3 linked regions of the Tamandua tetradactyla genome follow. The protein of the gene in region 1 interacts with the protein of each later gene in a pairwise test. Links are inferred from orthologs where the notes say so. Each region holds a gene or a part of one and is shown on either strand. Other genes may lie near its edges. The genes, in order: TUBGCP4, SDSL and LZTR1.

Region 1 (7,598 bases):
TAGGGAAATGTTTCCAGAAAGTTCACTTTGTTGAGGAAAGTAAAAATACTGGAAACCTTAAAACATGAGAAAGATTTCCTTTTCCAGAGCAGGGTGACTAGAGATGAAGAGATCCTGTTGTATGCTCAGAGCAGATAATTCTATTCCAAGTTGCTCCCTACGGCTTCTGACCACCACTTGTATGCAAGTCCTAATGCTGTTGGGAACAGTCACCTCCTGTCTCCTACAGTTGCTTCATCTGGGGCTAAAGAATTAAACTCTGTGTAATCTCAAGGGTGGGAAATAGGGGATTGTCTACCAAGGTCTAAAGGCATTTCCCTTAGTATGTCCTTCTGCTCTAATTTTATTGGCACTATCCAAGTCTAGACTCCTTATCCCGTCACACCCGGATAACCACAGTAGTCAGTCACTGCCTTACCTCGCTTCAGGCCCTCACTTCCTCAATTAAAATACTATTGCTGCCAAATTAGTGTGTTGTGAACACCATTCCCATCACATCTCTTCTTGCTCAGAACTTTCATCAACTCTCTAAATCTTAACCTCATCCAATTTAAACTCCCCTGCAGTTTCTGAGATCAGAATCTAGCCTTATCCTACTTATTGAATCTTAACCTTATTGCCTACCACACACTCTCCATGCATATTAGACTGTTCTCTCCAGAGCACAGCATACCTTTTATCCACCATTCTGTACTTTTCCTTTAATTCCGTCCTATCATATTGAACCCATCCTTCTAGAAGTTCTATATACCAGTGCCCTCAAGTTTTCCCTACACCATCCCTACCTTATCTCTCACTCTGCCAAACAGATATAGTACACAACTGAGTGGTAAGTCATTGTTTGGCACTGTTTCAATACAATTCTGTTCAGCACGTATTTATAATTTGCTGTGCGTCCTCAATCATACTGTAAGATCTTTGAAGACAGGCACCTCTTCTTATTGCACAGAGTACTCTGCAAGGTTTTGAGCACGTGGTAGGTATTCAAAAACCACTTTCTGATTAACCTGCAAGTCTGGTGTGTGGTTCAGGCATTTGATCTGGATGATGAGATAAAGACCATTACCAAACTGGTTGAGAAGGCTAAGATCTTGGACGATAAGATTAGAATTCAAAATAGCCTCAAAAAGTTAAAGAACAAAGTAATTTGCAAAATGGAGTTCAATAGAGTACAAAGAAGAAAAACAAGTTCTACAAAATCAAGTACAAGAATTAGCAACTAGGCACACTTGTAATAGAGAAAGTGATAAGAGTCCTGGAAGTTACCACGTGAACAAGAATGATCAAATAATCCTAAATTGGACTATACTAAAAGAAAATGTAGCAAAATTGTGAAAGAAAAGCTCTCATTCTATCTCTACCTACCAGACACTCACTGGAATAGTTCTCCACAAATAACATGACATCTGGTGAACTTAAAGGTTATAGAGGAGAGTAAGAAAAAAACTTAAGTCTGAAGAATTCAGCTTCAGGGGCAAAGCTTAAACAACAAATATAGTTTTATATGAAGAAGGAAAATGAATAAAAGAAGCTGGGTCTTCAAGTATAGAAAATAAGTTTTATCTAGAAAATAGTGACCCACTGTCATCATTACCAAAAGGAAATAAAATAGTTCCAAATTCTGATAAAACTATGGAGCCATCCTCTAGCAGATTTATCAAAAGTAGAAATATAAAAATACTGTAGGCAGAGGGCTAAATTACATGTCTTCAGGAGGTCCCCAACATCTGCATATTCTACAATTTTCCACTTATTCCTGAAATCCCTTTCCCACTTTCTATTCCCAACCTTACTTCCCCAGTTAGAATGGTATGCTATCTTCCCACATGAATCTACTCCTCACCGCTCCTTTGAAAAGGTCTGAGCTTCTCCTTTGGGTTCATCTGCTCCTGTGGTCCCAGGTCTGGGCTTCTCGCCCTCTCTTTCTTGGGTACACCCCTGGACTGGGGTTCCACTGACTCCTGCCGAACACTTAATAACTCCCGTGATGATTTCAGGGGTGTCATCTTCTCCAAGCGCACTTCCTGCCCCTTCACAGAGACTGTGACCTAGAAACAACCCCCATTAATTGTCACTGCATGGTCGTAGTGGGGGGGGGGCATTCCCAAAGGAGATTAGTTAATACCCCAAAAGAGAGCATCCTCTGGGACACGGCTGCGATTATAGGGGGAGGAGATAATACTGAACATGGGTCTCATTCCATTACTGTTAGCTTAGAGCAGCTGAACTCTAGAAGGAAAAGATCAAAACAATAAACCCAACTACAGGCTAGAAAAAGAAAAATCCCTCTGTCTTCCCTATTAAGTAAGAAACCACGAATAACTCATTATGGCAGGGTAGGTAAAGGTACACCCAGGTAAAATTTCCAGACAAGCTCTATCCGAAAAACTTACCTGTTGCAGTTAAAATTGCAAAAAGGGACTATGCCCTTCTTTAAAACTATCTATATATTTATCTGGCCCTTTACCCTTGCCCCTTTCCAATCACACATTTCTGAATTCCCTCTCCCTTCTCACCGAACGTCCAGGTCTTCCAGGCTTTCTTTCTAAATCTTCTACCAGAGCCACTGCCTCCTCTCCACTTTCTGGACATTGCTCCTGTACCCAATTCTGGATCTCCCCAGGTAAGATGGTCAGGAACTGCTCTAGCACCAACAATTCTACAATCTGCTCCTTGGTGCGCACCTCCGGCCTTAGCCACCGACAGCAAAGTTCCCAGAGTTGGCTGAAAGCCTCCCGGGGCCCAGCCACCTCCTGGTAATGGAATCTCCTGAAGCGCTGGCGGAAGGTCTCAGAGTTAGTGCCATTCCCTCTCAAAGTGGGTTTGGCCATCATTCATAGCAGAAAGCAGCTTCCCTCCACTTAAGTCTGGGTTCCAGGGCCTACACCTATTTTCCCATGTCCTTGGAGAAGCACCTGCAGAAGACTCTCTCTCTGTGAGAGGAGTTTGTTCCTATAATAGAGAGAGATGGCACTATCAGAAGGAATATATTTATATGCCTAAAGTCTTGTCAGGATTGGCCTGACTTCCCATATGCTCCAAGTGGCCATCTGAGGTAGCACCATCTTCAGAGCAGCAAGCCAACACTATGAGCATAAAGGAGTGGGACCTTTCAAAAGCTGCCTTTTGTGGGTGACGTCCAGGACAGCCCCGGGGAAGCAGCAGAGAATAGTATTGTGTGGGGTCCTGTCCCACATCCCCCTTATCTGGTACTATTTAGCTCCCCTGACCAATGACAGTGAATTTGAACCATATGGGAGACTTGGAGCTCGGGAGGATCTAAAGGCAATTCACGACCTGCTGAAAGCCATGGAAAGTCTCTGTCCAGCGGGTTGCAGATGATCTCTCCCAGGACCCTCGCAGTCCTCCCTGAGGCCCTCTGAGTCCGCCCCGCCCCGCCCCGCCCCTTTCAACTTCACAACTACCAATTTCCATCCCAGAGAAAAATCAATTACTGAATATCGGATCTTTGTTTCTCCCTCAGAGCATTAGTAAACTGCTCAACAAGGACTCGGGAGCTACTGAAAGGAAACCATGCGCATCTAAAGTTGGCTTAGGCTCCTGAAACTAAGGCCGAGCAGACTTGGAGAGAGTAACATCGAGTTGGTGGAGGAGTTGGAGAGGGCAGTGGTGATGGGTTTCCTGGGAATGATGAGTTCTGGTGCTGACCAGAGCCTCCGAGTGCTGCGGGGTTCGCGGGCGCGGGGCTCAGCTTAAGCAGGGGCGGGTAAGGGGTTCCGGCCTCTTTGTCTTGGCTCCCTCTGGCCGGGTCACTTTTGGAGCCCCCGTGAAGTCCCTTCTAGAGGCCTTCAATCGGCCTAAGGCACCCTAAGAGCGCCCCCCCCGGCCCACCCCTGGGAGCGTCTCCCTCAGGGGCTGTCCTTTAACCCACTCGCATCCCTACCCAGGACAACCTCACCCACTTCGGGTCCGGCCCCAGCCCCAGCTCTCCAGCCTCCCAGTCCAGCTCCCAAACCGGAAGTCCGAGCGGGAGACTCGGGACACAAAAGGCGCATGCGCGAGCAGCCAAGGCGCCTCCATCTCCCGCGGAGACTGTAGCTAGAGAGCCGGCTGGCCCGGCGGATCGCCGTGCACTTCCGGTGCTCGGCGCGCAGACCTCTGTCGGGTTTCCCATCTGCTTTTCCCGCAGCAGTTCTATCCGTGGGCCTCATTGAGGAGAACCTTCCCGCTCACGGGCTTGTGCGTTCGCCAAGGAGGGAGCGTCGCCTCCGTGGTCTTCTGGAGGGACGCCGGAGGAGAGGGTGACGTATCCAAGGACTCGCGTTCCTCCGTGGGAATGATCCACGAATTGCTTTTGGCTCTGAGCGGGTATCCGGGGTCCATTTTCACCTGGAACAAACGAAGTGGCCTCCAGGTAAGGAGCGCGGGAAGTAACGAGCATATATTCCCGGGACCTGAGCGCGGGAAGTAACGAGCATATATTCCCGGGACCTGAGCCAGAGCCTGGGGTGGAGTCTGAGGGTGTGGAGAAAGCGAGACTTGCAGGCGCTGTGGTTGAAGGGGCGTGCCCCTGAACTGGTAACTGGAGTCCGATGCCCGAGGGGCCTCCGGGTTAGAGGCCGTTCTGGGGGAAACTGAGGGCAGATCCTGAGAGGCCTCACCCTGGCGGGGGACGTGAGACTCAAGGGGCCTAAGGGTCTAGTGTCCGAACCTGAGGAGCTGGAGAACTGCATGTAAAAGTGAAAGAGGAGGAGGAAAAAAGGTGAAAGAGTCACTTTCTCCCATTTTTACACTTGCACTGTGCTTCGAACTGAATTTTGAAGGCCGGCCCAAATACACAGCGCTTGACACGTGCTCAGCAAATTTTGTTGAATGAAGAAATGAATGAGAGCATCTGATGTGTTCCACTTATTACTCGGAAAGGAGTAATTTCCGCAATAGGTGGAAGTGTAATCAGGGCTGTATGAAGTGCTATGTGTTAGACATTTTACATATGCATTATCTCATTTAATCCTCACACCCACCAGTCTCTATTTTACAGCTGAACCTAGAGTCAATATTATGTAACTCTCGGCGTCACGTAGTTGATTAGTAATTAGCAGAGCCTGGCTTTGAACCCAGGTCGTTCTGCCTCCAGTTATCTGAACTATTCTTACCTATTTCTGCTTCCCCTAATGTTATCCAGTACTCGCAATCACTTGAGAAGTTAGATATTGTGAGCCCCAGCTTACAACTGAGCAAGCTGAAGCTCAGAACTTCATACCTGGAGTCCTAGTGGTGACAAATTGAATCTGGGTCTGTGTGGTCACAAAGTTGTGCCATTATTATGTTAACTGACGTTATAGGTTGTGGAAGAGCAGAAAAATTACATTATAGTTTATAAAACGTATAAATCAAACAGATTCCTCTTGTTTTTATAAATTTATGTTTGCAGGTTGGGAATTTAGGTGAGGTTTCCTTAAAAAAATAAGCGAGTTGAAAATTTGTATGGTAGAGTTTGAATTGTTACTTTTTTAACATTTTAAAATTGTGAAGTATATTGTATATACAAAAAAGCAATAAATTCCAAAGTACATTGTAACAAGCAGTTATTGAGCAGATTTCAAAGTTTGGTATGGGTTACAGTTCAACAATTTCAGGTTTTTCCTTCTAGCTGCTTCAAGACACCAAAGACTAAAAGGAATATCTATACAGTGATTCAGTAGTCATACTCATTTGTTAAATCCTATCTTCTCTGTTGTAACTCCTCCTTCTCCTTTGATCCTTCGCCCAATCTTTAAGAGTATTTGTGCTCTTCCCATTCTAACTTTTTCATGCTGGAAAGGGTATTGATAATATGGGATAAGTGCATGAAACTCGTTGATATTCTTGAAGAGGCTAGCCCCTCTGCGTTTCAGGTCTTATCTGGCCTAGGAACTACCTGGAGATTGTAGGTTTCTGGAAAGTAATGTTCACATGTGAAACTTTCGTAGAATCTCAAATAGAGCCTAGATATTTTTTAGGTTAACAGGAATGATGTTGATTGAGTTTGGCAAAACATGGCTATTAGCAATAGCTAGCTGAAAGTTACCTAAGAGTAGCCTCCAGAATAGCCTCTCTACTCTACTTGAGCTCTGTTAGCCACTGATACCTTATTTTGTTACATTTCTTTTTCCCCCTTGTGGTCAGGAAGGCATTGTCAATTCCATGGTGCCAGGGCCAGAGTCATCCCTGAGAATCATGTCCCACATTGCCAGAGAGACTTTCACCCCTGGGAGTCTTGTCCTACATAGGGGGGAGGGTAATGATTTTCTTTACAGAGTTGGGCTTAGAGAGAGAGAGGTCATATCTGAGCATGAATTGTTACTTTTTTAGTACAGGTCTTTGAAGACTGAATTGGTGTTTTATTTTTCCTCCATAGAACTTTGCACAATTTCAGGCATATAGGCGGAGAATGTTCACTAAGTATCTACTGGATGTTTGACTATCTGAAGTAAAAGGAGATTAAAATAGAGTAGAGGAGAGGTAGCTGCTAGGAGCTGAGAAGGGAACCACAAGTAATTCAGCTTTCTTCTTCCTTTCTTTTTTATGAAAAAGTCTCTGTTACTTTCCTCTTTTTTATTCTTAGTCTCAGCTTTAAAGATACCTCCTCAGAAAAAGTTTCCCTGGCACCTCTTTCAATTAGGTATCTTCCTTTTATGTTATTGTTCTCTATCACTGCCACCTGTTTATTTCTCTTATAATACCACAAATCATTAAGATTTATTTATTGTTCTTATCTGTTTATCCTTTTCCCTGCATACATTGCCCATGGAACAGAGACCACGGTAGCCTTCATCATTATACCTGGAGCATCTAGCACAACTTCTGCCCCATAGTAGGTATTTAGATATTTATAGAAGAAAACAAGGTGACCAAAAAAAGAGAATATTGCTTTCTTTCTCAGAGTAGTGTTTTTTACAATTGAATAAAGGGGAAAAAACTGTCATGGATACCCAATGTTGATGAAAATTATTTTATTGTAATATCGAATATGTATACACACACAGCTATGTATAAACTAAAGCATAGCTTGCTCTTAACTATAAAGCCAAATAATATTACAATTAAATATAATCAAAACTACTAAATCAGTAAAATTCAAATTAACATTAATGCGTAGTTTCTCAACCTTGGCATTATTGTCACGTTTGGACCAGATAATTCATTGTTGTGGGGGGCTGTCCTGTGCATTGTGAGCTGTTTAGTGGAATCCTGGGCCCCTACCCACTACTAGATGCCAGTAGCAGCCCCCAAGTTGTGACAACCAAAAATGTCTTCAGACATTGCCAAGTGTCCCTTGGAGAGTAACCAAGTTGAGAACCACTGATCTAATGTGACATATACTGTTGTTTTGCTGAAACAAAATTGTCAACATTGAGTTTAAAAATGGAATGACACATCTGCTCTGTATTTTTCTGTTTGAACATAAGTAATGCTAATTCAAAGAATGCCTGTTAATATAAGTGTGTCGTACAAAATGATATCAATAACTTTAAGGATTTTTGTTCTTTCAGAATAATCAGACAGACATTGAACTTTTCTAAAACTGCCACCAAGCAGTGCTTAAATGCTAATTTTAATAGGTGTATCACTGGGTAAACTGGGTAGAGTTGTCT
Region 2 (7,598 bases), on another chromosome or scaffold:
ACCCACCTTTCCAGGGTTGTTAAGGATTTTGCAAGATAATGGTGTCCCTTTCCCAAATTTCAGATATTCAGGTACTGCCTTTGTCATTTTCGTCATATTGTCATGTCATCTTTTTTATAGAAATAATAATAGTAGCTGCGGCAAACATGGGTACTTGCTACCATCCTGAATATTTTGCATGGATTACCTTAAATAATTGTCACATGGCTAAAATTCTAGTAATATTTTATCTCCATCTTACTGTTGAGGAAACCAAGGCAAGGCCTGTGTTCTAACCACTAGTTCATGCTCTACTGGGTCAACTCCATGCTTGAAACTATTAACATTTACTTAATATTTTTTTTTTGAAACAGACTCCCTTTTAAAATATTAATGCCTGCTTTAGTTTCTTCCTAAGCAAAATCTGGGAAACTATAGGTTTGATATTATATATATGATAATATATTCCCTAACACAGAAAGAAAGACCCAACTATTTAAAAAATATGCTGGGATATGCTAACCAGCACGAATGGATGTGGCATACAGCAGGCATGCAATAAATGTAGCAGTTCTGCTTCTTGCCCACGCTTGAGCTGTGTGCTAAAGCTCTACCTCCTCCAGGAAGCCCAGCCTGATTTCATACCCCAGTTACCTGCTGGAGAACTTCTGCCCTCTGTCCTCCAAGGGGGTGTTAGAGTTACAAGTGGGTTGGGTGCCTCACTCCTCTAGGCTGGAGGTCACCTCAGGACGTAAACTGGGTTCCATCACCCTTGGGTTCCCAGCACCCAGTCCAGGACAGGACACCTGACAAGGCTCACGGTGGGTTGTTTTTTTAATGTTCTTTACTGTAAAATATAACATATATACAAAGCAAACAAATAAAACAGGAATAATTTTCAAAGCACACTCAACAAGAACAGATCCCAGAGTTTGCCATGGGCTACCATTCTACCATCTCAGATTTTTCCTTCTAGCCTCCAGTGTTCTAGAATATTAAAATAGTGATTCCCCAGCCATACTCATTTGTTAAATCCCATTTTCTCTGTTATACCTCCTCCTTCTCGTTTAATCCTTCTCCCAATCTATAGGGATCTTGGGCAATGCCTGTTCTGACTTTTTCATGTGGAGAAGGGATGTCCACAGTAAAGAATAGGGGATGAAATTAGTTGATAATTCTGGAGAGGCTGGTCCCTCTGGGTTTCAGGATTTATCAGACTTAGGAATTATAGGTTCCAGGAAGGCAAACCTAGTGCATGGAACATTTATAGAGCCTCAGTTTGAGCCTTAGGTGTTCTTAAGAGTCAACAGGAGTGATGTTGGTTGGGGTTTAGCAAACCATGGCAGTCAGCACTATCTCACTGAAGCTTGCATAAGAGAAGCCTCCAGAATAGCCTCTTGACCTCATTTGATCTCTCTTGGCCACTGATACCTTATTTTATTACACTTCTTTTCCCCCTTTTGGTCAGGAAGGTATTGCGCCAGGGCCAGGCTCGCCCCCGGGGAGTCACGCCCCACGTTTTCAGGGAGACTTTCACCCCTGAATGGCTTGTACCGTGCAGGGCGGAGGCTCATGATTTTCCTTGTAGAGTTGGGCTTAGAGAGAGAGAGAGAGGCCACATCTGAGCAACAAACAGAGTTTCCTGGAAGCAACTCCTAGGTCTCGTTATGGATAGTCTTAGCTTCTCCCCCTGAATATGGAACTCTTCACAAATTTGCGTGTCATCCTTGCACAGGGGCCACGCTAATCTCTGTATCATTCCAGTTTTAGTATCTGTGCCGCCAAAGCACCCACTCAGGGTGTTTGTAGCGTGCGGATGGGTCTGAAGTCGCACAGTCCTTACTAAGGTTCATGACCAGGCAGTTCCACTTGACCCCAAGGAGTTACTCATTGAACCCGGGGAGGTCACACGTGGGCCAAGAAGGACACAGAACGTCCATACTCCAGGTCTTTCCTGGGCCTCACCTCCTGCTTTATAGATGGGGAAACTGAGGCCCAGAGGAGGGCGTGACTGGCTCAGTGAGGCGGTGACAGAGACGTGAATCTGATCATGTCACTCCCCTGCCTAAAGCCTTCTGTGGCTCCCTATTTCCTCCAGGTAAGTTCCAGGCTCTGAACTGGCACAGGAGTCCCTGTGGACTCTGGCCCCTGCCCAGCTCTCCTGCCCCAAAACCCCTTGCTTCTCCAGCCCTCCTTCTCTCTTCTGCTCCCACTGAGCACTCTGTCCCTGAAATGCACCATGTTTTTCAAATCCCAGACCTTTGGACTTCATGTGCCTGTTCCTGGCTCAGCGCAGACTTGCCCTCCTCCAGGAGACCTTCCCAGCCTCCACGGCTAGCTCAGGGTACCCGCAGCCCCGTCACCAGGCACCGCCCGATGGCATAGCCCCAAATGTAATTGCTCGTCACTGGCCCCGTGAGGGCGTCGGGAGGGCAGGGGACACACTGTCTTGCTTGAGCTGTGTCCCAGGGCTTGGCACGTAGTAGGTGTTCGATAAAGACTTGCTGAATGAACGAATGCTCAGAGTCATTCATTGGAACAATAAATATTTGTTTGGGTTCTTACGTTGGATATAAAATATCAGAGATGGAAAAATACTTCAGAAAAAAAGATGCCTTTCTCACGTGACAAATAATAATTCGTGACTTCTTGCCGTCATTTTCCTCCACCCCTGACACCTAAGCTGTCCCCAACAGTGGCCCGGGGGACACTTGGCATCTGGGATGGACTTGGAGTAAGAAGATGGGAAGATGTCTGTAGCATGAGAGGGGTGGTCCGGGGTCGGGGCAAAGGCTGGCTCTGCCCTGCTGTCTGGGTGGGCTCAGCCTCAGTTTCCTCACTTGTCTAATGGGACCGGGTAATGCACTTGGGTAGCACCAGGGCGGGCAGCGAGGGTTGCTTCTCGTCTCCTTCCTTCTGCTGTCTCCGCAGCCCAAGGCTTAGAGCTGAGCACTGTCCCTTTAAGTGGGAGGAGAGGCTGGGGCTGCAGGGAGCGGCCGGTGCCCAGCAGGTGTGCAGGACCCACGCTGATCTGGGGACTGTCAAGCAGGGAGGTAAGGGGACCTGGGCTCAGCTGTGGGAGTGGGAGGGGGTGGTGGTCTGAGCGGCTCTGGGGCACAGTCCAGGTGAATGGACAGGAAGTGAAAGGGGATGAGTGTGGCTGAGCCTTCCAGGAACCTCGGGGCAAACAGGGTGCCCTGTGCCCAGCCTGCCTGGAGAAGCCAGCCAGTCACCAGGGACACTGAGGGGCCCAAAGGCCAGCTTGGGGCTTCCCCGGCCTGACACCTGGGATCAGGCTGTGGCATGGGGTCAGCCAGGTGGCCTCTCAGGAAAGGCCTTAGGGACCAGGAAAGTGGAACGAGTAGGTGGTGGCCTTTTTTTTTCACTTTAATTTACCAATGAGGCGAGCAAGGTCCAGAGAGGAAATGTGGCTTGGCCAAGGTTATGCAGAGAAGGGCCCTGAGCCCAGGCCCTGGGCTGCCCTCTGCCTTATTCCACGCCCAGAGGACCTAAGGCTCTTAGCACAGCCTCTATGGCTGCTGCAACCACCAAGAGCTCAGCCCCAGACCTCAGAATGGGACACACCTAATCCCCAACTTCCACCAATGAGGTCGGGGAGGCCTGGGCCCCTGATGGGATTTGGGCTTGCCAAAGCTTGCTTATTTAACTGATGCCCACTGTCCTCTCGTGGGAAGCCGGTATGGCCAAGAGAACTGGAGCAGCCTGGGGACTGAGGATAACTGGCAATAATTATTAAATACTGACACCTTTAAAAATAATAATCTAACAATAACACTAATAGTAATAGTGGAAGTATAGTGGTTAGGAGCACAGACACCAAAGCCAGACTGCCTGGGCTGGATCTTGGCTGTGCCATTTGTAGCTGTGTGACCTTGGACAAGTTACTTAACCTCTCTGGGTCTCAGTTTCATTGTCTCTACAATGCAGTTAATAATATCTCATCGAGTGGTTGGGAGGATTAAAAGAGATAATATACAAGGTGCTTAGCACAGCGCCAGCTCCCAGTAAGTCCCACACAACTATTACCTCTTATGATAATATGTCACACAGAGAGTTGGGGCTTTTGCTACATGGCTTCCCTTAATTTTCCCAATGCCCTTTGATGTATGGCTTCTTCACCCAGTCTCTGGTATGGCTAGTTCGTTCTCATCTTTCAGATCTCTGTATAATGGTCACCAATTCTATGGTCACCAATTCTAAGAGGCCTTTCCTGACCTCCCTGCCCAAAGTACATCCCTTTGTTTTTCTCTTTCATGGCTTCTTATATACTTGTTTCCTTCTTAGAAGTTTTCACCGTTTCTAATTATTTTGTTTGTCTATACAGTTATTAGTTAAGTGCTATTCTCCTCATCACACTGCAAACCATCTTTTTAGCAGAACCTGGTGTCTTGTTCACCATGGTCTCCCCTGTGCCTAGGATGCTGCACCTCATAGGTACCTTATAAACCTGCAACATTGAAGACGTGTGCCTGGTGTTAGAAGTCCTCACAGAGGTACCCTCTGCAGAGGACTCAGACCATGCCTGGTACACAGGAGGGGCCCAAGAAATGGTGGCTGTTGTTATTATCAATCTGCATTCCAGCTGAAGAGGTTGGGATGGTTACTATCCCATCTTACAAACAGGGAAACCTAGGCACAGAGTGGTTGAGACACTTGTCCAGGTTACACAGCCAGAAAGTCAGAGCTGGTTTCTAACTTTAGTTTATGCTTGACCCCAAAATCCATACCCTGGGACTCCATGGTTGAGGTGGAGGTTATGCTGGGTTGGGGACGAGCGGTGACCTGTGCCCCTTCCTCTTATATCCAGCCCAGAAGTGCCCCGGATGGGACTGGGCAGGGGTGACTCAGGCTTCACCCTGTCTGGGGAGGCCCCGAGCCACCCTGACAAGGGGGTCAGATCCCCTGGTGGGAGGAGGGAACTTCATTGATCAGGGGACTCCAGAAGCTTGGGCGTCTGTGTGTGTATATGTGTGCGTATGTGTGTGCGCACGCGCGCGTGCATGTAGTGGCCACGGAGCGCTCCCTGGTGGCTTAAAGTGGAACTGCGGGGGCTGGCCAAAGACCACTGCCCCAGAGAGAAAAGTGGGCTTGGTTTCGCTTCTTTTAAAAATTCCTTCTTTTTCCCTGCCTTCTCCTTTCCTCCTTCTCTCCTTCTTGCAACTTCTCATTGGTTCATTTACTCATTCACTCACCTACTCACCCCTCTCTCCATGGCTTAAACTTCCCAATGGCTCCCATTCCAAGAGGAACCAGAATAACCTCCACCCTCCTTCTCACAGAACACCCACCCAGCCCGCCACCCAGCCCCTTCCCGCCCCAGCCACTTGTCCTCCTGCGCCGGCAGCACCCCAAGTGCATTTCTCCCGCGAAGTGTTCCTACCTGTGTTCCCTCTGCAGGAGTACCCTCCCTTGGCTGCTATATATACATATATAAATCTTCACAAACAGCCCATCCGGAGTGTACAATCAGTGGCTCACAACATCACCACATAGTTGTATATGCATCGCCACGATCATATTTAGAATATTTGTATCACTCCAGAAAAAGAAATGAAAGGAAAAAACTCATACATCCCAAACCCCTTACCCTCCCTCTCATGACCACTAGTACTTCCACCTATCCTTTTTTCATTTTACACCTTATTTCCCATATTATTCATTTTTTTGTTCTTATTTTTTTACTCATCTGTCCAGACCCCAAATAAAGGGAGTTTCAGTCACAAGGTTTTCACAATCACATGGTCACACTGTAAATGCCATATAGTTATACTATCATCTTCAAGAATCAAGGCTACTGGAAGACAGCGCAACAGTTTCAGGTACTTCCCTCCAGCCGCTTCAATACACCATAAACTAAAAAGGGGTACGTATATAATACGTTTGAATAACATCCAGGATAACCTCTCGACTCTGTGAAATCTCTCAGCCACTGACACTTTATTTTGTCTCATTTCTCCCTTGCCCCTTTTGGTCAAGAAGGCTTTCTCAATCCCTAGATGACAGGTCCCACCTCATTCCCCAAGAGATTTATCCCCGCGGGAGTCACGTCCCACATGGCGGTGGAGGGGGCGGGGTAGTTGGCCTGCTTCTCGTTTTCATTCATCTCAAGTTTCCCCTCTTGAGAACATACAGATCAAAGAAATTTTAAAAACCTATCAACCAATCAGAATGCACTGACTGTATTCACATCCCGATTCAAACTGTCAAAAACCAAAAACCACCACTTTAATCACATTGATGAGAGAACTGGAAGTTTGAACAATTACCAGATATTTGATGATATTGAGAAGCTATTAATATTTTTAGGTGTGATAATTGCATCATGGTTATATATTTTAAAAAATAGCATTGTCAAGGTATAATTGAAAGTCAATAAAATTGGCCCATCTTAAGGGTAGAATTCAATGTGTTTGGACAAATGTATACAGTTGTGAAATCGTGTGAGTACTTTTTTTAAAAAAAATGTCTTTTAGAGATATAGAAATATTTACTGATAAAAGAATACAGGAGGAAAATAAAATAATAATAAAGGAAGGAAAACACAGTACTACAGGAAGGGGCATTTGCACAGATGTGGTTGAAACAACATAGCCTATGAATCGATGATTGTTGGGTCCCTACACAGGAGGCTGTGATATAGTTCTCACCTCTTTTCCATAATACAAGTTTTTTTTTTTTAAAGTGTCCCTCTCTAGCTAAAATACCATCCACTCCCAAGTCACTCCTATTTGAAGTTCTGTGATTCTGTCTCCCCAGCTACAAACATGAGCTCAGGCAAAGCTTGCCCACTCCTGGGCACCAAGCCTGGAACCACCTGGTACATAACGTGCTCAGTATAGGGTGGGTGGGCGGGCGGACAGACGGATATGGCCTCCACTCCCTCATGCATTCATGACCACGTACTGGTCACGCTCTCCACTCCCAGCACTGTGGGCAGCTACCGTTATGGAACAAAAGGGGCCCTGGTCCAAACCCCTTCCAGATATGGACACGGAGGCCCAGAAAGGGGCAGGTCCTCGCAGTCTCGCAGCCCAGCAGCCCGACGGAGCTCAGGGAGACCAAGCTGAGGGGCCCCCACCTTCCCCTCCGCGGCCCCGGTTGAGGGTCCCATGGCTAGAGCTGCCTGCACAAGTCTTCTGTGTCCCACAGGCGATGGCTGGGATGGAGGACCCTGCCCAGCGGGGGCCCTTCCACGTGGTCACGCCTCTGCTGGAGAGCTGGGCGCTGTCCCAGGTGGCGGGCACAACTGTCTTCCTCAAGTGCGAGAATGTGCAGCCGGCCGGGTCCTTCAAGATCCGGGGCATTGGGCACTTCTGCCAGGAGGTGAGGGCACGGGGCAGGAGGGGAGGTGGGGGAGGTTACAGGAGGGAGGGGGTGCGGGCTGTGGGCAGGATGGAGGCGCGGTGCATTGGGGGCCTGGGAGAGTGCGGGCCAATTACCCCACACCAGGCTGGCCCTCTCTCTTTCCAGGTGGCCCAGAAGGGGTGCAGACACCTGGTGTGCTCCTCAGGTGAGCCCACCCCTTCCTGTGGGCTGTGAGCAGGTCCTCGGGGTGGGGTCAGGGAGGAGAATCTGGGAGGAGCAGCAGGTGCTCAGGG
Region 3 (7,598 bases), on another chromosome or scaffold:
GTGACGCCGTCACCTTCCCCCTGGCATGGAGAAACAACCGGAAAGTGAACATCCCACACTGGCAGATGGCTCACATGCAGGGTAGAGTATGGCTGGCCCTGGAGAAAAGGTGGTGGGTCCTAAGGGGCTTGGCTCAGGCCCCTGGGAAGTGGCCATTGGGAGCCGGTCACTAGAAGCTGTCGAGCACCCCCGAGGAAGAGCTTTCCCTGCCCCACACAAGCCCCCCCCCAAGCCACACCTGCCATGTGCACCTGCAGGGGTCCCTTAAGATGCAAGTGCCAGCAAGTTAGCCATCTCACTGCCTCATAGGGAGGACCCCAAGACTCCCTTCCACCCCTGGGACAGGGGACTCCACCCTGCACCCACCTCTTCTTCCCTCTGTCTTGACATTTTTGGAGTATCGGCTGCCAGGAACCCCACTCCTGGTACCAGTTCTGTCTGAGTCCGAGATCTATGGCCAGGTTGGAAGGAAATAGAGGCTACTCATCAGTCATGCATCATAAGGGTTTTCCTGGGAGGCTTATGGAACTGTCAACAGAGCACCCCTGCAGAAGCGGGGCAGCCACCCATGGCCACTCTCTCTGGGGCCCTCGGTGCTGTTATCTGTCCCCCTCTTCAAGCCTGACATGGCTGGTTGGTCAGGTACACAGTAGACAGGACCCCAGGGCACCTCAATTCAGATTCTCCATGCAGGGAAGGAATGGAATGGGTTAGCTTTGAGCCAGGTGCCCCCTCCCAGCTGCAACAGTGGGTGGGCAGTGAGCTGAGCCACAATGGGGGGGAGAGAGAGCTGTGGGGGCGCTCAGGTCAGGCAGTGGTGGAGGGGGAGGAGGGAAAGTGAGGCTGGGGGGCATCTCATGGGCCTGGATCCCCCAGGTCGTGTGGCAGCCCAGAACATGCTGGCACAGGAGGCAGAGATCAGTACTGTCCCCTACCTCTGGACGGCCATGTTCGGCAAGAGCCTGCGCTACACAGGTGACCGAGGGCCTGGGGGTGGGGCTTGGGCATTGAGGGCGGAGCCTAGGACCTGGAGGTGGGGCTGAGGATCTGGGGGTGGGGTCACGACAGAACTAGCAAACACCAGCTAGGACCGTGCTGGGGGTGGGGCCTGAGAGGGGGCGGGGCCCCGATCCTGAGAAGCCCCACCCCCTCCACGTGGCCCACAGGCTATGGGGAAGGCTTCGATGACGTCATCATCCAGGGGGACCTGGAGGAGCTGAAGTTCGTGGCCTTTTACACCAAGTGAGTGCAACGGACGGGAGATGGGTCAGGAAGGGGGGCCTCCTCCGGGACAAGGTGTGCTCCAGAAGTGGGGGGTTTACCCGGAAGGTGCAGCCCATGGCTGGAGCCAGGGGCAAAGGGGGTGGACATAAGTGAGGCAGGAGTCCTGCAGAAGGAAGGCCACGAGGCAGGGGTAATGGTTGCCTATAGCTATCTGGAGGCCCGGCACTCGACCTTCAGGACAGCTCTTCCAGGCAGGTGTTGACACCCCACCCCAAGTGACAGCAGGGAGAGAATGGTGACTCTAGGACAGGAGCCAGGCCCAGGAGGAAGCCAGGAGCCTCCATGGGGGTCCCAGGGGAGCCCTGAAGCAGGAGAGCTGCATGCTTGGAACATGCCCCTCCCTGGGCTCTGGGTGGACAAGGGTCAGTCAGGGTCCTTTGGGAACTGGAGGGGATGCTCGTGGGACAGTGCTCAGGTCCGGCCATTGTCTACCTACAGAGGCGATGAGGTCATTGCTGTGGCCAGCATGAACTATGACCCCATTGTGTCCAAGGTGGCCGAGGTGCTGGCTTCTGGCCGAGCCATCCGGAAGCGGGAGGTGGAGTGAGTATGGGCATGGAGGCCTTGGGGTGGGGAGAACAAGGGGGGCCCCGTCACAGCTCCCACGCCTCAGGGCAGGATGGGGCTATGGGGCATGGCTGTGGCTTGGGAGCCGAGCGGGAAATGTGCTCATGGGGGAGATGTGGAAAAGGGAGGGCTGTGTCCCAGGGCAGAGCCAGGGCTCTGGGATGGGACAAGGCCCATTTCTTGGACTGTCATCTGTCCTGGGACCCATGGCAGACTCTGGACACCAGCCACTACCCCTCCCCACATCTCTAGCACAATGCAGATAGGAATCAACCTGTGCCTTCTGAGAAGCCCCAGGGACTGGGGAAAGCTTGAAGTGGGGGGAGGATAGGGGCCACTGGGCAGGGATGAGGGGCGTGGGGGTGTATGGCCTGAGCTTGGAAATGAGAACCAAGAGGGGATGCAATGAATGACATCCCCTCTTCCTGGCCTTCTCTCTCTCTTCCTCTTGCCTTCACGAAGGCTGTTTGTGCTGCACAGCAAGTACGTTTGTCTTTCTTTGTCCTTTCTGTTGAGGGTTCTGAGCCTTCCCGGAGGGGGTTCTGGTCTACCTTCTCTGTCCAAGTACACACCTCTGCTGGGCACCAGGCCTGGCATGGAGCAGGCCCCAGGCTGTCTTCAAGGGCCAGCTACTTGTGGTGCCCAAAGTGGGAGACCCTCTCATTTTCTGCTCTCATTCCTCTTCCTTTTGTTCCTGCAGGACCGGCGACATGTCCTGGCTCACGGGGAAGGGCTCCTGAGCTCGCATGCAGGAGACTTGGGCAGGAGGGCCGGGGTTCGGGGGACAGAAGCCAAGTCCTGGGGAAGGTGCCAACTTCCCAATTTCCCAGGATCTCCCAGGACAGAACTCGATCCCTTCCATCGCTTGCCTTCCCCTTGCCTAGTCTCTGCTGTCCAGAGATGCCCTGGCTCTCCTCTGCTGGCCTCTGCTGCCACAGATGGCTGGCACAGGAGTTGGGACAGGGCCTGCCTCTTCTCCCTCTCTTGGGTCTGGTCCCCTCCGGGACCTTTTGACGTCTCAGATATTACGTTAAAATAAAAAATGCACACATTTGCAGATCTGTGTGACCCCCAGTGTGATTGGGGAAACACTCATGGGGGAAGAAGCGGACATGGCTCTCCACGGGAAGACACAGGCACACCCCCAGACTTCTCAGTGCCTCACCAAAGAAGTTTGGCTTGAGGGGCGCCCAGAGGAGCTAGCAACTGATTCTGCCTGCGGGGTCAGGAAAAGCTTCTCCCAAAGAGTGGAGATTTTTGAAGGAAGGTCAGTCCAGGCAGAGGGGAGTGCCGAGGGCTCAAGAAAGGAAATGCTTCTTCAGAGGTCAGAGGGAGACTCATGTCTGGCAGTTTGGGGGGCACCTGCCACCTAGGGCTGCAGGAACTGATCCTGGGACAGATTCCGTTTTCTGGGACCCTGCCAGTAGATGGCAGAGGAAGAATGGGAATCCAGAGGCCCTGCTCTTTTCGCTGCTCCATGCTGCCCCCGAGCCAACGAGAACACAAAGGGGAGACCACGGGGCCGGGGGGGCCGCTGTGAGGCCGGAACCTTCCCTCCGGGATGCCGGGAGCGGCGGAAGGTCTAGGGCGTGGGACACCGGAAACTGCAGACCCTCCGCGGCGGGGGCCTGGCGGGCTCCGGGGAAGTGTAGGCACACAGGGCTGGCGGCGGAGGCTCCGCGTTCACTAGAAGCGGGTCTCGGGCGCCCGTACTTCGCCGGAAGGCTGCCGCACACGGTCGCAGGGAAGACCCGGCCGCAGCCCAGTGCCGCGCCCGTCCGTGGTGTCCAAGCCCAGCTAGGCCTGTCCGGAAGTGCGGTAGCGCCGGCCGGAAGTGTCGCGCCGTGGGCGCAGGGCGAGCCGGAAAATGTAGTCCCGTCGAGTGGACCCGGGCGGTGGCCGCACATCCCGCCGACCCGGGATGGCTGGGCCCGGCGTCTCGGGGGTCCCGATCGGGACCGGGGCCCTGGCCGGCGGCGCGCGGTCCAAGGTGGCCCCGAGCGTGGACTTCGATCACAGCTGCTCCGACAGCGTGGAGTACCTGACGCTCAACTTCGGGCCTTTTGAGACAGTGCATCGCTGGCGGCGCCTCCCGCCCTGCGACGAGTTCGTGGGCGCTCGGTACGGGCGGGATCAGGGGGGTCCTTGGGGGCGGACGGTGGTCTGAAGGGGTCGCAGGGGCGAGGCCTGGACCTGATGTCCCGGGGGGCAGGGTCTGGTCTTTGGGGGAGGGGTGGGGGAAGGGGGTCCAGGGCTGGGAGGGGACGCCGAGGGGGACCCCAGAACGAAGTGACCCCAGGGCAGGGTCCGACGGCGCAGGCTTCGGGGTGTCTGGTCTGGGACCCTGGGTGATCTGCGGCAGGGTGGGGAGGTCCAGGGAGCCCCTTACATTTGGGGGTGCAGGTGGAATTTAGGGTCCTCAGTAGGTGTAGGAAGGTGAGAGGGGTTACCCCACTTTGGGAGCAGGCTTCTAGCTTGGTCTCATCCTTTGGATGCTCCCCCCTCCAGGAGGGTCCGACTTTACGATCCCCCCCCACTCCCACCCCATCTTTTCTTCCAGGCGCAGCAAGCACACAGTGGTGGCTTATAAAGATGCCATCTACGTATTTGGTGGAGACAATGGGTGAGGACGTGTGGGGACCACTGCGGGGGGTGCATGGTGGTCAGGGATGAGCTCCTGTCTTTTGGGGTTCAGCTAAGGCTCAACTCCCCATCTGTGATGCCCCGCCTCCCAGATCCTGGTGAGAATAAAATGAGAGCCTGTCCCTAGGCCAGCAACACACATGCAGTAGGGATACAGGCTCAGTACACAGAAATGTCCCCTTGTTCTGGGCGAGTAGACACAGCTTTGAAAGGACCATGTAGGCCCTTGCTGTCACCTCCCCACCAGGTAGTTTTCCTTCCCTGCCCTCCCTCTGGGACTTGCCCAGCAGCACATGTTGCAGCTGAGAAGGCACAGAGGACACGGCTTTATTTCCTGCATTTTTCACTTTCGGTGAGGATCTTCCTACGTTGTTATAAACTCCCGGCAAGTAGCCTTCCTGGCAGTGATCTGAGGTCCTGTTGGTGGGACACCTCTGCACCCCTCCTACAATGCGGCCAGTTTTCCTTAGTAAACGATCACAGCAAAGGGAAATCTTTGCCTTATGTAGCCACTGCCTACCTCGGGAGCTGGACCTTTGAAGAGAGAGGAGCTTGTCTCAGCGTGTGCTGGGCCATGTCACTTACTGGGTGGGGGTGCTGTTCTGGGCAAGGGAAGTAGAGTTCTGATTTGGTTAGGGAAATCTTACCAGAAGGGATGATGACCTGAAAAATTAGTAGGCAGGCTACTAAGTTTTAGGAGGCAGGCAAAGGAGGGAAGGGACTTCCAGGCAGAGAGAGGATAGGTCAGGAACAGTGTGGCAAGGCCCGATGACCACACAGGGCCTTCCCCCCTTCCCTAACTCATCCATTCATTCGTCGTGCTCAGGAGAAAAGCCCAAGGACACCAGGAATCTGGGCAAGGATGGGAGTCACCCAGAGGCGGGGCTGAAGCTTAGTCTGTTGGATGGGCAGGGCTCAGCTCAAATTAGAGCCTTGTGGCTTGGGGGTCAGGCAGGAAGCGTAACCACGCCAAGTGTGCTTTGGCTTCCTCTGTCTGTGGGGCGGTAGCTGTCCTGCTGACACCCCCAAGGGTCAGGGAGCATGTGGCCATGAGGCCCAGCACAGAGGAGGGAGAGTTTTTGCAGCCGATCCTGCCCTTGAGTCCTGCTCCCACCTTTCAGCCCCAGGACCTGATTGGCACTGCATGCCTAGGTCTTTCAGGGCTCCCCCAGGGAGCTGACTTGGGGGGCTCCTGGCTTCCACCCCATCTCCCCACATGAGCAGCAAGAGAGACCCGTTTAAAAATGCAAGCCACAGCGCATCCCTCCCCAGCTCACAACCCTGAGATACCTTCCTGCCTTCCTTGGAGTAAAAGCCAAAATCTTTGTAGCAATTCCTGAGGTCCTCTGCTCTTGCCTCTCTCACACATCCCTTTGCTGCACTGTAGCTGCACCAGCTGCCATACTGCGTTTTGATTGTGCCGAGCACCGTCCTGTCTGAGGCCTTTGCATTGGCTGTTCCCCTCTGCCTGGAATGCTTTTCCCTCAAGGTGTCCACCCGGCCTACCCCTGTCCCTCCTTCCCCTGCCCTCCTCTGTGCAGCTCAGGAGCAAGGCCTTGAATGGCCTCCCAGCCCCTTCCAACCCCTCCATCCTCCTTGCTGGAATGTCAGCTCCACCGACGCAGGGTGGTACTTTGTGCATGGCACCCCATGGCCCAGACGAGGAATAAATGATATTTCAGGGTCTGCAGGCATTTATTGGCACTTTAAGGAGAATCCCCCCCCCCAAACCATAGAAAGCTGCAGTGCCCACCCTGGGCAGTGGAAGTGGGGTACAGGGGTGCCAGTCCTTTAGACATTAGAGTTTTGTGCAAGGAGCAGAAACATGCTTGCTATAATGTGACACTCAGAAAAAAGGATACAAATGTATCTTTATTTTGAGCTGCAACTTTGTAAGGCTAGCTGGGTACAAAGGAAAATGGCCTGGGGGGTGTGGGGGCTGCAGGTGGGATCACCTAGCTGCCTGTCCTCCAGCCTTAGTTTCCCCTCCTGGAACTTGGGAGCGGGGGACCATCTCTGGAGGTGGAGAGCACCCCGTTCTGGGTGGGTGCAGGTGGAAGGAGGCAAGTGAAGGGAGCGCCGGCTGTGCAGTCGGGGATGCTTGGCTCTTGGGGTCCCCATCCACTCTTTTCCGGGAAGACAATGAGGCTGAGGCAGCGGCCAGTAGGTTCTTCATCCCTTTATCCGTATCTTTAGCATCATCGTCTCATAGTTTTGGTTTCTTTGCTGTTGTTTTTTTTTAAGTTTTCCTTGTGTAAAAATATATACATGTGGTGGGGCATGGTGGCTCAGCAGGCAGAGTCCTCCCAGTGCCTGCCCACCCACCCCCCCCAAAAATATATATATATATACACGATGTGAGATATCCCAGTTGAGCCAACTTCGGGGACACAGCCCAGTGGCATTGGTGCCACTTCTAGGCCACTGTCCACGACCACACCTTTTCCATTGCCCTCTCCAAAAAAAGAAACTCTGTACCCATTAAGCCAGAGCCCCCCATTCCTCCAGCCCCATCCTGGTGCCTGGCACCCTGCATTCTGATTTCTGACTCCAAATTTGCACAGTGTCTGTCCCCTGTGGGGTCTGGCTTTATTTCACCCACCAGGAAGCCCTCAGGGCTCACCCAAGTGGTGACACGTGTCAGCTATCACATTTTGATCCTAAAGGGTTGGCCAGAGGGTCATGAGAGAAGCCAAGGAGGGTCTCCCTGGAGCTTGTGGGTAAGGGGGCTGCATGGTGGTGGCACGGTTCCAGGCCGTATCCTGGTCTCTCGACTCAGCATGGGCTGGAGTTCCAGCTGGGGAGTCTCAGTTGTTGGGGTTCACTGATGAAGCAGCCCCCCAATCCCTCCCCCACCTGCAGTGCCCAGTGTCTGGGGTCCCAAAACACTCCGTGTGCCTCTTTCAGGAAGACCATGCTCAATGACTTGCTGCGTTTTGACGTGAAGGACTGCTCCTGGTGCAGGTGGGTGGCTGGCACCCCAGGGTCCCCCCTCCCACTCCCATCTTTCCCAGAACCAGCTCCCGCAGGTCAGAAGGAGAGGATGGTTCCCGGGATGCTGTGTCCAGGCCACTTTTAGGATTTCCCCCTGTCCCCTGGGTTTC

Evidence for each region.
Region 2: the proteins of TUBGCP4 (region 1) and SDSL interact in a two-hybrid assay, tested with the Homo sapiens proteins (2 studies listed by BioGRID and IntAct). The two-hybrid records come from large-scale screens. The link is inferred for Tamandua tetradactyla from reciprocal best matches to the Homo sapiens genes TUBGCP4 and SDSL.
Region 3: the proteins of TUBGCP4 (region 1) and LZTR1 interact in binary tests that used the Homo sapiens proteins (3 or more experiments, as listed by UniProt). The link is inferred for Tamandua tetradactyla from reciprocal best matches to the Homo sapiens genes TUBGCP4 and LZTR1.

What each region holds. Positions count from the first base shown.
Region 1 is NC_135340.1:57,627,528-57,635,125, forward strand, and holds the start of TUBGCP4 (gamma-tubulin complex component 4), read left to right. Parts: upstream 1-4,022; 5' UTR 4,023-4,297; coding exon 4,298-4,375; intron 4,376-7,598. Other genes in the region: ZSCAN29 (zinc finger and SCAN domain-containing protein 29), read right to left, coding at 1,844-2,048, 2,517-2,834. UniProt on the Homo sapiens protein: Component of the gamma-tubulin ring complex (gTuRC) which mediates microtubule nucleation.
Region 2 is NC_135331.1:14,093,411-14,101,008, forward strand, and holds the start of SDSL (serine dehydratase-like), read left to right. Parts: upstream 1-2,962; 5' UTR 2,963-3,032; intron 3,033-7,149; 5' UTR 7,150-7,152; coding exon 7,153-7,323; intron 7,324-7,470; coding exon 7,471-7,502; intron 7,503-7,598. UniProt on the Homo sapiens protein: Catalyzes the pyridoxal-phosphate-dependent dehydrative deamination of L-threonine and L-serine to ammonia and alpha-ketobutyrate and pyruvate, respectively. Also exhibits racemase activity towards L-glutamate and D-glutamate.
Region 3 is NC_135331.1:26,806,003-26,813,600, forward strand, and holds the start of LZTR1 (leucine-zipper-like transcriptional regulator 1), read left to right. Parts: upstream 1-3,460; 5' UTR 3,461-3,772; coding exon 3,773-3,972; intron 3,973-4,411; coding exon 4,412-4,474; intron 4,475-7,401; coding exon 7,402-7,458; intron 7,459-7,598. Other genes in the region: AIFM3 (apoptosis-inducing factor 3), read left to right, coding at 1-81, 877-975, 1,167-1,242, 1,723-1,827, 2,552-2,591. UniProt on the Homo sapiens protein: Substrate-specific adapter of a BCR (BTB-CUL3-RBX1) E3 ubiquitin-protein ligase complex that mediates ubiquitination of Ras (K-Ras/KRAS, N-Ras/NRAS and H-Ras/HRAS).